2 linked regions of the Schizosaccharomyces pombe genome follow. The protein of the gene in region 2 interacts with the protein of the main gene of each other region in a pairwise test. Each region holds a gene or a part of one and is shown on either strand. Other genes may lie near its edges.

The links. The genes of interacting proteins can lie anywhere in the genome.
Region 1: the proteins of pof14 (region 2) and erg9 interact in binary tests that used the Schizosaccharomyces pombe proteins (3 or more experiments, as listed by UniProt).

Annotation. Positions count from the first base shown.
Region 1 is NC_003423.3:928,357-934,302, forward strand, and holds erg9 (squalene synthase Erg9), read right to left. Parts: upstream 4,117-5,946; 5' UTR 4,087-4,116; coding exon 2,704-4,086; 3' UTR 2,646-2,703; downstream 1-2,645. Other genes in the region: gta1 (glutamyl-tRNA amidotransferase alpha subunit), read left to right, coding at 1-2; mRNA cleavage and polyadenylation specificity factor poly(A) polymerase Pla1, read left to right, coding at 633-2,088, 2,132-2,249, 2,289-2,382, 2,424-2,456; glucan endo-1,3-alpha-glucosidase Agn2, read right to left, coding at 4,425-5,726. UniProt on the Schizosaccharomyces pombe protein: Squalene synthase; part of the third module of ergosterol biosynthesis pathway that includes by the late steps of the pathway. Erg9 produces squalene from 2 farnesyl pyrophosphate moieties.
Region 2 is NC_003424.3:2,244,064-2,251,919, reverse strand, and holds pof14 (F-box protein Pof14), read right to left. Parts: upstream 6,186-7,856; 5' UTR 6,135-6,185; coding exon 4,839-6,134; 3' UTR 4,792-4,838; downstream 1-4,791. Other genes in the region: ubiquitin ligase Btb3, read left to right, coding at 1-420; tRNA (uridine) methyltransferase trm9, read left to right, coding at 813-893, 943-1,548; byr3 (translational activator, zf-CCHC type zinc finger protein), read left to right, coding at 3,438-3,977; microtubule plus-end binding protein, EB1 family Mal3, read right to left, coding at 7,298-7,856. UniProt on the Schizosaccharomyces pombe protein: Expression is induced during oxidative stress. Plays an essential, SCF-independent, role in the stress response to hydrogen peroxide for survival, by negatively regulating ergosterol synthesis via direct binding to the squalene synthase erg9.

The sequences.
Region 1 (5,946 bases), on a different chromosome or scaffold from region 2:
AGATTTCGGCTGCTTATCTAAACTCTCGAAACATGGCTATGATAATCTTTATGAGCATAATAATTCTTTACTGTTTGGAATCAATTTCATACATTGAAACTTGTTTGCAAAGAGTTTTGGAGAACTTGTCATCAATAATTCGACAGTTTCCCTACAACTGCGGTAAATCCAATAAATAGATGTGGATTCTGAATCATTTACACTTCTCAGCAACATAAATTATTTTTACATTTCAAGTCGCTAGTTTATTCAACCAAAAAAAATGCATATCTGAAGGATGGAATTTAACGGGTAAGCTTTTAAATACAAAACCAGGAGCAATCGGTTTGTCAGATAATGAACATAGTGCACTGTCAAGATATATATGATAAACAGCAACAATTGTATAATTTACCAGATAAATTAAATTTGATTTAATCGAAATAAATGTCTCAGTGCAACTGTAAATGAATTTTTTGACATTATAATAAGATAACGCACTTTGTGAAATTGCGTATTTATGCCTTAAATCCTAAACGAATGCTAACCAGATCTACACATTTAGCATTAGTACGCTTTAAACCAGTTGTTTTTAAAGGTTAGGATAATTTAAAACAGCTACCTTTCAAGACTCCAATTTTTGTTTTCAAAGCATGACTACCAAGCAATGGGGTATTACACCGCCAATTAGTACTGCACCTGCTACTGAACAGGAAAATGCTTTGAATACGGCTTTAATTAATGAGTTGAAGAACCAAAACTTGTTTGAATCTCCTGCCGAATCTGAAAAAAGAGTAAAGGTTCTTGATGAGTTGCAACAAATAACGACAGAATTTGTAAAGAAAGTATCACTTGCCAAACATATGAACGAAAAGATGGCTAATGAGGCAGGGGGGAAAATTTTTACGTACGGAAGTTATAGACTGGGCGTTTATGGACCTGGATCAGACATAGATACCCTAGTCGTTGTACCCAAGCATGTTTCTCGCGACAATTTCTTTCAGGACTTGGAACCTATGCTTCGAGAAAGAGAAGAGGTAACTGACCTTGCTGCTGTACCTGACGCCTATGTTCCTATTATTAAGTTTAAATTTTTGGGAATAAGTATAGATTTAATTTTTGCTCGTCTTTCAGTTCCGCGTGTTCCCCGCGACCTCGAATTGTCTGATAATAACTTATTAAAGGGTGTTGAAGAAAGATGTGTGCTAAGTTTGAATGGTACACGTGTTACGGATCAGATTCTGCAGCTTGTCCCTAATCGTGCTGTTTTTAAGCATGCTTTAAGAGCCATAAAGTTTTGGGCTCAACGTCGTGCAATATACGCTAATGTCGTAGGATTTCCTGGAGGAGTCGCCTGGGCCATGATGGTAGCTCGAATTTGCCAACTATATCCGAATGCAGTATCTTCTGTGATTGTTGCTAAATTTTTTCGTATTCTTCATCAATGGAATTGGCCTCAACCAATATTGTTAAAGCCCATTGAAGATGGCCCCTTACAAGTACGTATCTGGAATCCAAAACTTTATCCATCCGACAAAGCTCACCGTATGCCAATTATAACCCCGGCTTATCCATCAATGTGTGCAACTCATAACATTACTTTATCCACCCAAACAATTATCCTTCGCGAAATGGTTCGGGCTGGAGAAATTGCTGACCAAATAATGGTCAAGGCTCTTCCCTGGTCAGCTTTGTTTCAAAAACACGACTTTTTTCATCGTTATAAGCATTATCTTACGATCACAGCAGCTGCTAAGACAGCTGAAGCTCAATTGAAGTGGGCAGGTTTGGTTGAATCTAAGCTTCGTCATTTGGTTACTAGACTGGAGCTTGTTGATGCTATTGCTTTGGCACATCCTTTCAATAAAGGATTTGATAAAGTGTATAATTGCTCCAGTGAAGAAGAAGCTCAACAAGTAGCTAGCGGCGTTACTCTTGAAGTCGCATATGAATCTACGGATCATGAAAAATTAGCCAACGATACAGTTAATGAAGAGAAAGCCGACAATACTGAGAGTAAAGCTGATGGTTCTGAAAATGGTGAAAAACAAATTTTTCCTGTTTACACTACAACATGTTATATAGGGCTTGAACTTGAAAAGAAGAAAGGCAAGATACTACATTTTGAAATTAATTATGCTAACTTTATTAGGTCATCCAATTAAAAGACTTGATATTTCTTGGCCTACCCAAGAATTTTACGAGTTGTGCAAAAAATGGGATAAATATGATGACACCTTAATGAACGTTTTCATTAAGAATACTAAAAAGTAAGTCATTTTATATATATACACTCTCACACATTTTAGTACTGCTTTACCTGATGAAGTTTTCGAACCTGGAGAAGAACGGCCGAAAGCTACTAAGAAGAGGTCCACTGCTGACACTGCACATAGTACAGAGGTAAGAATTCCGATTTAGCTATCCATTCTAACGATCTTTAGCAATTAAAACGACAAAAAGTTTCAACGGCATAAATACCCACACATAAGACTCAAACCGTTGCTTGCTTAACACTCACGAGTATATCTCATCATTCATTGTGGTCTTATCTTACAACCTATATTAATTGTAGTCACTATCTGTAGACAGGATCAAAAATCAAGTTCTAAATTGTCTTCTGTTTAGCAAAACAGCTTTCAATTTTCATAGAGTAATTAAGGAAATAAACTGCTTGTATATTATCGATATTGAACCAGTATTTAAGTTTTTTAAATTTACGGACTAAAACAAATTAAGCTCTTTGAAGTCTGACCAATGTATTCTAATATTGAACACATAGAAAATGACAGCAAGGCATACAAGGATTATAAAAAATACAAAAAGAATGCTAATGCCTAGTTTCTGTAAATCCTTTCGATACAATTCCTTTTGCTCGTCATTTAAAATTGCCTTCTGAGTTCCGTTTCCCTTCTTTTGTTCAGACAACTTACTAACATAGGCCTTTTCGTACATCTCACGGAAGCGCCGTGGAAATAAGCTTTCAGATACTTGCTCAATCTTTCCACATTCAATTGAAATCTTCAAAAAGTTGGGATCTTTAGGAGTGTTCTTATAATGAATATCACGGGTGTAACGAAGGAATAAATCACAAACATTCTTCAAGTTTACAGAATGTAGAATAATCTGGACAGCCTGACCCTTCCTTATCTTAACATTAGTTTGAAAAACATCCGGGTTTCTGAAAACTGCAGCTAATGTGGCAATTGCCATTACTTGTGGAATAGCACAGAAATTAAATATTTCCTGAGTCTTCAATTGAGAAAGATAAACGAGAGCATCAGTAGCATGTGTTAAAGCATTAGCAGTCATATCAGATAAACATTCAAGAGCTTTTTCAGAGTTGTCAGGAAGACAGAGATCACCGAAACTGGAAGTATACTTGGACCAAATTTCACGAGGCCAGAAATGACGATTATCATCAAAATCCTCACGATAATCACGAATGATGTTAACTTTTTGTAAAAAGAGTCCAAGAGAATTGGAAATAGCTTGACTATGAGCTAAATCCGGATCTTCTAGCTTAGATTGAGCAAACAAACGAGATAGTCCAATTCCCACCAATCCGGCAACATAATGACAATATTTGTTAAAGTCTTCTATAGTTTCTACAGAGAATCCGTCATTTTTTTCGGCAAGAGAGGCATAATAAGCCATACCATCACCCATTTCCTTAGTAATGTTCGAAATAACATTACGATAACCCTCTGACAGGTTAAGATATTCTTTTATAACCACGTCGAATTCTACGAGAAGCTGACGATCCTTTTCGTTAGGACCAGATTCATTAAACGTCCACCCTTCGACTTCAATTGTTTTATAAAAATCTCTTAGGATTGGAAGCTTTTTATCCAAAGGCAACGTCATGTCATCCTCTACTGTATCCAGTCCACGAAGGACAAGATAAAAAATCATAACAGCCTCTCTAATACCATTTGGCAATTCTTTAATAACGACTGCAAAGGATCTCGAGGTCATATCGAGTAATTGGTAACAACGGCGGATGTTTTGAGGCACATTTTCGTCTTCTCCATAAGAAGGAAGGTCATTCCAAAGCTTGTACTGACAAAGGCACCGGATTTCTTCAATGCGGTTAGCTAAACTCATTATATAAAACGCAGATTAAATGGTGTAGTTGGAAGGCTAAGTGAAGACGTGCTTGAGATATTGATACCACTTCGTTGGAGTTTGTTACGGTCAGTTGATCAGCAGCCCAAGTGTCAAGCGGTATCGAACTTTCAGGTTTATTTTAGTAGAGTACTCTTTGTGTTTGCACAATTGAAAAAAATAAAATAAAATTAATCTACATCAACTACAATTGTTGACACCAACAAAAATATTTGTATTAAAAAGTTATCAAAGCTACCTGCCACCAAAAAGTAATGTAAACTTCAGTCATACCATCAGGATTGACTAATTTTGATCTCCACTTTTAGTTTATGGAATTACCAGGATATCCTAGTGGTGCAGAAGTTGAAGTTGTATAGCACAACAGAATTGTTACCAAGAATATTTAATGGACCATACCCCTGAGCGATAACTGTCGTTCCATTTAAAATTTGAAAGAGTGGAAGACCTGCAGCAGCTGTGTTGTTAACAATGAAACTAACATTAGCTGACTGAACACCTGCATTGACATTGGTGGTACCTAGTACGGTGCCATTAACGCTAACGCGCAAAGTATACGATGACTTTGCAAAGGATATAACACTAATAACGTCAGAACTGTTCTGGTAGTTATCAGGTCGAGGAATTGAGTCTGACGATGCTGTCGCATTTTTTGAATGCACCCGGTATGTAACGTATAATTGCGATATTCCGCTGAAGTTAGATGGAAGACCTGTAGTATTTTGTTTATACATTTGAATGAAAAGGGGAAGTGAATAAGATAAAGGTGCATGCGTAAACGAATCAACCCACTCATGAGAGTTTGATCCTATGACCGGAAAGTCAGCAGCATAATTAGTGGGACCAATATATGTGCTTTCTCCATAGTCATTCCAAGTTAAAACTTGAACATAGTTTGGTTGGTCTTTAATAAGTTGCATCCACCTGGTAAACCATAAACCTTCTGAAAAGAAAGAATAATTTTTGGAAGTAAAGTGTGTATAAAATATTGGACTGACAGTAGCCATATATTTTTTGTTTGTGGCTTTACTATTTTGTATGTAAACTAAGTCTTCAGCATCGCTAGTAGGGGAACTTGTGTAATAAGGCCAGCAATTCCATTTGCAGAATCCATCGGCAACTGGATATGTCTGATAAATAGTACTAGCATCGAGAGGCCAAGTGGGCATGAAAAAAATATTGATACCAGCAGAAGCCAACGCGTTTTTGAATGCTACCTGCCAACCTTGGTTTACTGAAGACTGACCAAAATTAATATCCTGCCCAAGAAATGTGCCCACGACTACATTGTTATTAATCCGAGCCTGATGGCCACGATTAGCAAAAGTTTGAACATAGGTCACAAGAGTGCTAGCGGGAACCGTTGACATTTCAGACATATCTAGATTGAGGTAAAGCAAAAACTGAAGATTTAATGCATCAGCAGCATTGTACATCAAAGTCAGTTTGCTCATCATCCAACTGTCATTCCCAAAGTTGAGCACAAACCCATCCAACCCCAAAGAAATTGCATTTTGTATGTCATTTTGGAAATCACTCTGAGCATAATTGTACGTAAGACCCATCATAAAATGGGCTACAACGGCTTTATTCGGTAAAGCTGTTGTTAACGACGCCATTAAGTGATATTTAAGTTGGTTAGTGGAAATGCAAGCTGTCCGCTTTCAAAGGTCTAGCCGATGACTGCCGCTATACAAAAAAAAATTAAGTTATGCAGGTAGATTTGATAACTTGTCCCTTTAGACTCTTTAGTCTAATGTCGACAAAGGTTGGTGTAAATGCCAAAGAGTTATAGATGCCTTTATATACTGACTATTAAAATGTAAACAAATGCAAGTT
Region 2 (7,856 bases):
ATGTTGTCGTTAGATAAAGATAGAAGCTTGAAATCTTTAGCTTCTATAGTTATTACTAAACAAGAAGAGCCTATAGATAGTATTTACGATATTCTACGAACAGCTTGGGATACGTCTACGCCTCGCCTGGAGCAATACGCTTCCGAATATATGGCAAATCATTTGGAGCACTTGATTGACGATCCTGAATTCTGTGAATTAGTCAAAGAAAGTGCTGATCGAATTTTACAGAGACAAGAAACAGACACGATCGAACTCATTGATGATATTCGTTATTTCCTCTCAAAACGTTTTGGCATTTACCATGAGGATTTGTGCATTGATGGAGTTGTAGATACATTAACACCTTATGAAAGCGAATATAATCAAAAAATGGAGATGATTGACGATTTACTAGATAAACTGGAGCTACAAGCTTAATGGCAATGGTAGAAAAAATAATATTTCTTGAACACTTCAACTGTTTAAATTAATCATTATTAAAATTCAAATTCATAGAAAAGGCTTTATCTCAGTTTGCGCATTGCAAAATAAAGTAACGGGATACTTTTAGTACCATCACCGTTTTTTTTGTGTTACTGGTAGCTGTAATTTGTTTTAGTTGTTGCTTTAAATGATAAAGAATAATGAAATCCTTAATTTTGAACCATGGCAATAAACAAAGGAATGGAAATTATTTTCAATCTCTAATTTCGAAATTAACATCCCTATAACCCATCGTTTTAGTTTTACCATTTGCTAACCTTACCCAACCTTCGAGACGTATTTTAATCGGCTTCAAAGGCTACAAATTTTTACTTATTTATATTAAAATGGAAATAGAGTACGAAAATGAATATGTTCATCAAGTATATGATAAGATTGCAACACATTTCTCAGATACTCGATACAAGGTAAGTTAATACAACGATATTTAATTAAAGCTAATCAGTCATTTTGTAGCCATGGCCAGTGGTTGAAAAATTTTTAAAATCTTTGCCTTTGGGCTCTGTAGGAGTAGACATTGGGTGCGGAAATGGCAAATACCAAAAGGTTAACCCAAATGTTTACATGATAGGAAGCGATCGTTGCGTAAAACTTGTTAAAATAGCAAGCAATCTAGGTCCTATGGTTATTTCTGATGGCCTGCACGTACCTCATCCAAGCAATCGGTTTGATTTTGCCTTAAGCATAGCTGTAATCCATCATTTCAGCAATGAAAACCGAAGGTTGCAAGCTGTTCAGGAAGTTTTAAGACCATTAGTAAAAGGAGGGAAAGCACTATTTTTTGTTTGGGCTTTAGAACAAAAGAATTCAAGGCGTGGTTTTTCAGAAGACGGACCGCAGGACGTTTATGTTCCTTGGATATTAAAAAGGCAATATGAGTATCCAAATGCAAAGCCGGAGGAATTAAAGGGGCACGATCCTGCTGAAAATATTGCGTATCAACGTTACTACCATTTATTTCGCAAGGGTGAATTAAATGAGTTAGTAGAGACCGCAGGCGGCTCAATATTGGAACATGGCTACGACCGTGATAACTGGTGGGTAATTGCTGAAAAAAACTAAGTTTTGGAATGAAAATTGATCGTCATATCACCTTGATAGAACAGATTTTTCATCTTTCTTGAACTTGTTCTCAAAAAGTTGGAATATTTCTATTTTACCTTAATTACATAGTTTAAACTATTTTCGTTCGGAAAATGATTTTACAGATTTTTTTTTTTAATCTAACTGGTAGAAGAATTTCTGTGTTTTATGTCTCGATTATTAATTTACTGCGTTTAATTATAAAATGAAGCGATGAACTAGTCATTCCCAAGGGCGAAAAGCGGTCAAATGTACTTGTTTTCAAAAAAAAAATTGACGGTTTCTTAGTATGACAATAGTGATAATTTGATATCGATTGAAGTGGTTTTCTGTTAAATGATACTATACATCTGTGAATGGGTTGGAAATTAAAATGTTAATCTAATTTTTGTTAATAGTTTATTCACGTAGGTTAGTGAAATGACGGTTCAAAGGTTGCATAAGTATTGGAAATCGATGAAGTATGTCAAGCAAAAACATTTTGTAAAATGAATAAATTTCAAAAAAAAAATATTTTTTTTTAGAATAATTTGGAATAATCATGCATTTCTGTATATGTTAAACTTTTAATATAAATCTGTGCTTGAGTATGAAATGAATTATCTAAAAAACAGTGTTTGAATAAACGTGTCCCAATAATAATGATAAATTGTAAAAAATATGTAGGAATTATACAAAATTTATTAAGCCACAAATAGGAATAGTAATTAACGTACAAAATTTGATTTGAATTTAATAATTTAAATGCGACTAAGTTACTTGCTTTTCTATTTACCAAAACGAATTCCAAAGAGAAAAAAATAAGCAATTAATAGTTTGGCAAAACACTTACTGCATGAATTAAATTAATAATCCGACATGCATTAATAAATTCTTGGTTGCTAAATTCAAATAAAGAAGTAATCAGCAGTTCTTTGCTCCTTAGTCGAATGATTACTTTTTTTCTATTCCATTCACCTTCTATTTCGTATTTGTTATATTCATAAAGTCTAGGAAAAATATAAAAAGATTTCCAAGATCCTAATTATCTATTTAAAATTATTATGTTGATATATCGTCGCGTAATATAATTAAATCTTTTTTTATCGAAACCTCAACAAGCTTTGGTGGTTTAGTGGTATAATGAATCGTTGCCATCGATTCGACCCGGGTTCGATTCCCGGCCAAAGCATTATTTTTTACCAAAACAATTTTTGGATTTATTTTGATTTGTTTGAATTCAAGCACGTGGTACTCTGGATACCTAAAATATGTACAACTATAGATTCCAGTAATATATATATTGCAAATGACTGAACTCAATTCTTCAGGCGCTATACTGTGAATGCAATGTTTCTACGATTTTTTGCCATGAAAAATAACGATGCTTATTTACCACGATTCAAAGTAACTAAGCGTTTGGTTATATTCGCTTGGAATACCAATCTACATTACAATGAGGAGGCAATAATTGCTATGATATAAAGCTATTGTCAGAACCAAAAAGTCCTGAGTTTATGGGAAAGAGTGAGCTTACTAGTTATGTAAGATATTACACTCTCTATCACAAAAAAAAGCAAGTATGCGGTAACAATTCTTCGATTCCATGACTCTTTTTAATTGGCAAGTTGTTGTGCTTCTTCCGTCGGTCTAAAACAACTAAATTCTTATTTATTGACATCTTTAAGACCAAAATAGTCGCTTGTCAAATTCGTTACTTCCAAGTGCCACCATGTGCTTGTTACTTAAGAAAAATTTAGACAGTCACACGCTCCTATTTATTAAGGAAGTGTAGTCAGGTTAGCGAGAAAAAGTACATTTTTTCTGTTTTTTTTTATTTTTCTTAATTTTCTTTAATAATTTTTTTTAATTGTAAAGGAGTTGTTAAGATGGAGTCTGAATCTGTTCCCACCGTTCCTCAAACCACTCGTCCCGGTCCTCGATGCTATAACTGTGGTGAAAACGGTCATCAAGCTCGTGAGTGCACCAAGGGTTCAATCTGCTACAATTGCAATCAGACCGGTCACAAGGCTAGCGAATGCACTGAGCCTCAACAGGAAAAAACTTGCTATGCTTGTGGTACCGCCGGACATCTCGTTCGTGATTGCCCCAGCAGCCCTAACCCCCGTCAAGGTGCGGAATGTTACAAGTGTGGTCGTGTTGGTCACATTGCTAGAGACTGTCGTACAAATGGTCAACAAAGTGGCGGACGATTTGGTGGTCATCGCTCCAACATGAATTGCTATGCTTGTGGCTCTTATGGCCATCAAGCCCGTGATTGCACTATGGGCGTGAAATGCTACTCTTGTGGTAAGATTGGACACCGCAGCTTTGAATGTCAACAAGCTTCAGATGGTCAACTTTGTTACAAGTGTAATCAACCAGGCCACATCGCCGTCAATTGCACCTCTCCTGTAATTGAGGCATAAGTGCTTGCTATTTATAACCCTTTGTCGTGGTATGAAGATATTTTTTCTTTTTCTTGTCCGATTTATTCAAATTTGGCAAGTGGTCATATTCTTACAAATCCCTTGAGCGATCTGCGCATTTAGTTATATAGAAAGCATAATTTTACATCCTTCTCTTCGTCCTTATTTTTTCGCACACTTCTGAATTCATTTTTGCTTCGGATCCTTAAGGATATTTGTACTGAAGCCTGAGATGCACCACCTCATTTCTCTCCTGTTTTCTCGTCACCGCTAAAAGATGGATGTTGATAGATTAAATCCTTTTTGTTTCAGTTTATTTTTACTGTTGTAGTGGCATTTTTTTCCTATTATTTTCAATTCACGAGCTTGAAATAAAAAAATTTGGAATATGGGAATTCTATAAATGATAGAAATTCCTTGGTCCATTTGGATGATTTGTTTTTTTTAGTGCCATTATTTAATGGAACTTTTGGTTTTATATGACAACTCACTATCAATTTCATTTACGAAATGGGTTTTGGCGTTTTCGTATTTTTTGAGTAACTTAATTTACCTTATGTGTTTGTACAGTAAATGTTAATGCTCTGACTTATTAACAACTTCTCTACTTCTTAATCTCTCATGGTATCTGTATAACAATATTTACAAAAGGGTTCTGGGTCATTTGCCTAATTAATATTATTTTTTCCTTGCATTGCTTACTCTGCTTTTCAAAAATGAACTGTAATTGAAAACGGGTGAACGATAAATGTAACAGTTGTCATAGACAAAAAAAAATTTATTAACTTCAATTTTACTTTCATACAAATTTGACATCGAATTTGTCTATTACATAAAATCGTAGTATATTAATCCAAAATTTTATTGTTCACATAACTCAGCCAACTGCGCTCGAAACAAACGAAATAAACTTCTTGCAAATTCACCTTGAGAATGGTAAATACTCTTGAACGCTTTCTCTTCATCCCTAGCCAATTGAACATGCTCCGATAACCAAGAGGGGAATTTTTGACCAGGCCTGCTTATATATCCCACCCCTAAACGATCTTTCATAACATCAAATTTGTATCTACTTACAGGTTCATAAAAGTCAATGATTGCTTCTAAGCATTGATCACATATATTGGTAGCAACAGAAGGCCGGTAAAATGAGGTAATGCAATCTTTAAACTTAGTTAACTTCGGTATTCTATTGCAAAGCACACAACGGCCTACAAGATTGCATGCTAGCTCTATATATGTAGACTCATCGCATGACTGTGTTCCATCTCCTGTTTGGATGATCGAGGAGGCTAACGAAGAAGTATCAGAATGAATTGTCTTTGCTGCATAACTTTGATAACTTGGATCAAGAAAAATTGGAATGATTGTAGGGATATCGGTAAATTTGGCCACAGCACTTGTGTTTATAGACTCAGAGCAAGTTACAGCCGAATTTGGATTTTTTTTATGCACCTTAAGTAATCGTTTCCAAAATGAAACATTTCGAGGGCTGAGAATCTTTTTAAAACGTAAACATGTATTGGGGAGGTCATGGATAAGGGTATGTCGTTGTTTTCTATATGAAAATGCAAAGGGTAACTTCTCTATGTATGAAGCATCATAGCAATATGAAAAAATCAGCTGTAAAATTTCATCCGGACAATCCAAAATTTTTGCATACTTAGGACTCTCAGATGAGTATCTATAATATAAATTTGACTTAGGTGAAGCAACAGTTAAATTTAATGAAGAGTCAAGATTATCGCTACTTGGTATTTTTCTGAAAGGCAGGACTTGGGTAGTATACTCGGCATAATCATTAATCAATTCTAGAAGATTTCTACTTAGTGAGCATTTATCAAGTAGACCTTCATAATCAATCATTGCTGAAGCATGCGAATCTCCATCAACAACCAACGTATTCCAGACACCATTCCAATTGTCTTCTTCATCAAAATTAGAACAGATCGAAACCAATCGCTTCATGGCTCTTACTCTTGCTAAACAATGCACAAATTCATCAAATGTTTGAGGCTTGAAATATGAGCTTCTTATTTTTTTGCGAGTATCGATTAGTATTCTTAAAAACGATTCATCTTGATCCAAGTGCTCATTCACGCTGGTATTCATATAGCATGTATGCGTTTTGCAATTTTGAAATGAAAATTGAAGCATTTAGTTTGATTAAGTAGTAGTACCCATATACAGTTCGTTGATGGTGATGTTGGCTGACTGCAAGCTCAATTTGCCGGTTATCAACATTGCATAATTATACATCACATGGTTACTTACTCATACCGGCCTGAGAATTAGGTGAATAAAAACCTATATAGAAAACAGAAGTTTTATAATAAAAACTAGTGGTATACTTCGCATATTATACTAATGTGGATCGAATTTAATTCTTTGTGTGAAAGACGTAACATTGGTGTTATCAGATCAGATAAGACAAATTGATCAAACCCCCCGGCGGGGGGGGGGAAACTTGGTGCTTTGAATTTCATTATTGAGATTTTTGCTTTGCAAATTTAAAGAATTGTGAATGAAAGAGTTTTATTTATTATTAACGACGTGTAGCTGAATTGCATAACTTTAAGCTTGATTTAAAAATTTGCTATTTAAAGTTGATATAGTTCGAGTAAAAAAAATAAACTAACAAAGGTACCTCAAAATTTTACATACTTTACTATTGCTAGTAAAAATGACAAGCATAAACACCTACGGTTTATAAAGTCAACAATATATATATATAAGATAAGGATAAGTAATTAAACTTCTACATCGCTGAGACGTACGCAGTTGAAACGTTTTAACATAATCAGATCATTGAAAGTAAATATTTTACTCTTTATTTTGCTCATATATGAAAAAGGCGATTTTAAAATCGGATGCAAATTTTTTTTAAATCGAGTAGATATTTCAGCATCATTGAATAAAATTCTGAAACATCCATTCATACTTTTCAACATTTAATTATAAAAAAGTTTGGTTCGTAATCACTGAAACGTAGAAGCAGGATAAATTTAAATTATCCTTGAAGCTTTTTTAAAGAAATAAGAAAAATATCCTATTTGGGATAATTAGACGGCTCAAACACTAAGGATTAAAGTTTATTACAATTAGCATTTGTAGTATACAGAATGCTATATGTTAAGGAAAAAGAACGAAATTAAATGAATTTGGAGGTCATGAGGCACGCAACATTCGATCAGGTTAAATAAACAATAAGGAATAAGAAGAACTCCCTATAAAAATAAATATTTCGGTTTCCTTTATTTACGTTGTTACAGTGAAAAATGAAGAATTTGCAACAAAAAAAAACTTTAACTTAGTACTTTTTAAAACGTGATATTCTCATCGTCATCAACCTCTAAACTTTGTAGCCTAGCATGTACGAAATCTGGTGCAGAGGGAACGCGTTGAGTTTCTGAGTCTTTTAGGTCAGTCATTTGAGCCTCTTCAGCGACGTTGTTAGTATCATGGTCCGTAAGGGCGGTAGTTAAATCTGCGGGTTGATCAGGTGGTAACTCAAAACCATCCTCAGTAGAATAAAGTATTGCTTGAATACGCTCCAACATATTTTCCATTGACATAGGAGAAGTGGTCAAATGAGTTTGTACAAGTATTTCAATTTCTCGAAGCTTGTTAAAATAGAAATCACGTTCTCTCTCCAAACCAAACATCGTCTCATTAACTTCGTACAACTGTGTTTCAAGACTAGTGATTTGTTGTTGTGCTTGCTTTGCCCTTAACACTGCCGCAGTATTTGCAGTCGAAGACACGTTATTGTTGTTTGCTGATGACTTAGTCATTGAAGGTGTAGAACTACCAGAAGAAACCTGACGGCGACGAGAAGGGCCAGTTGCTCCTGCAGAGGAATTCATAACACGAGTGTTA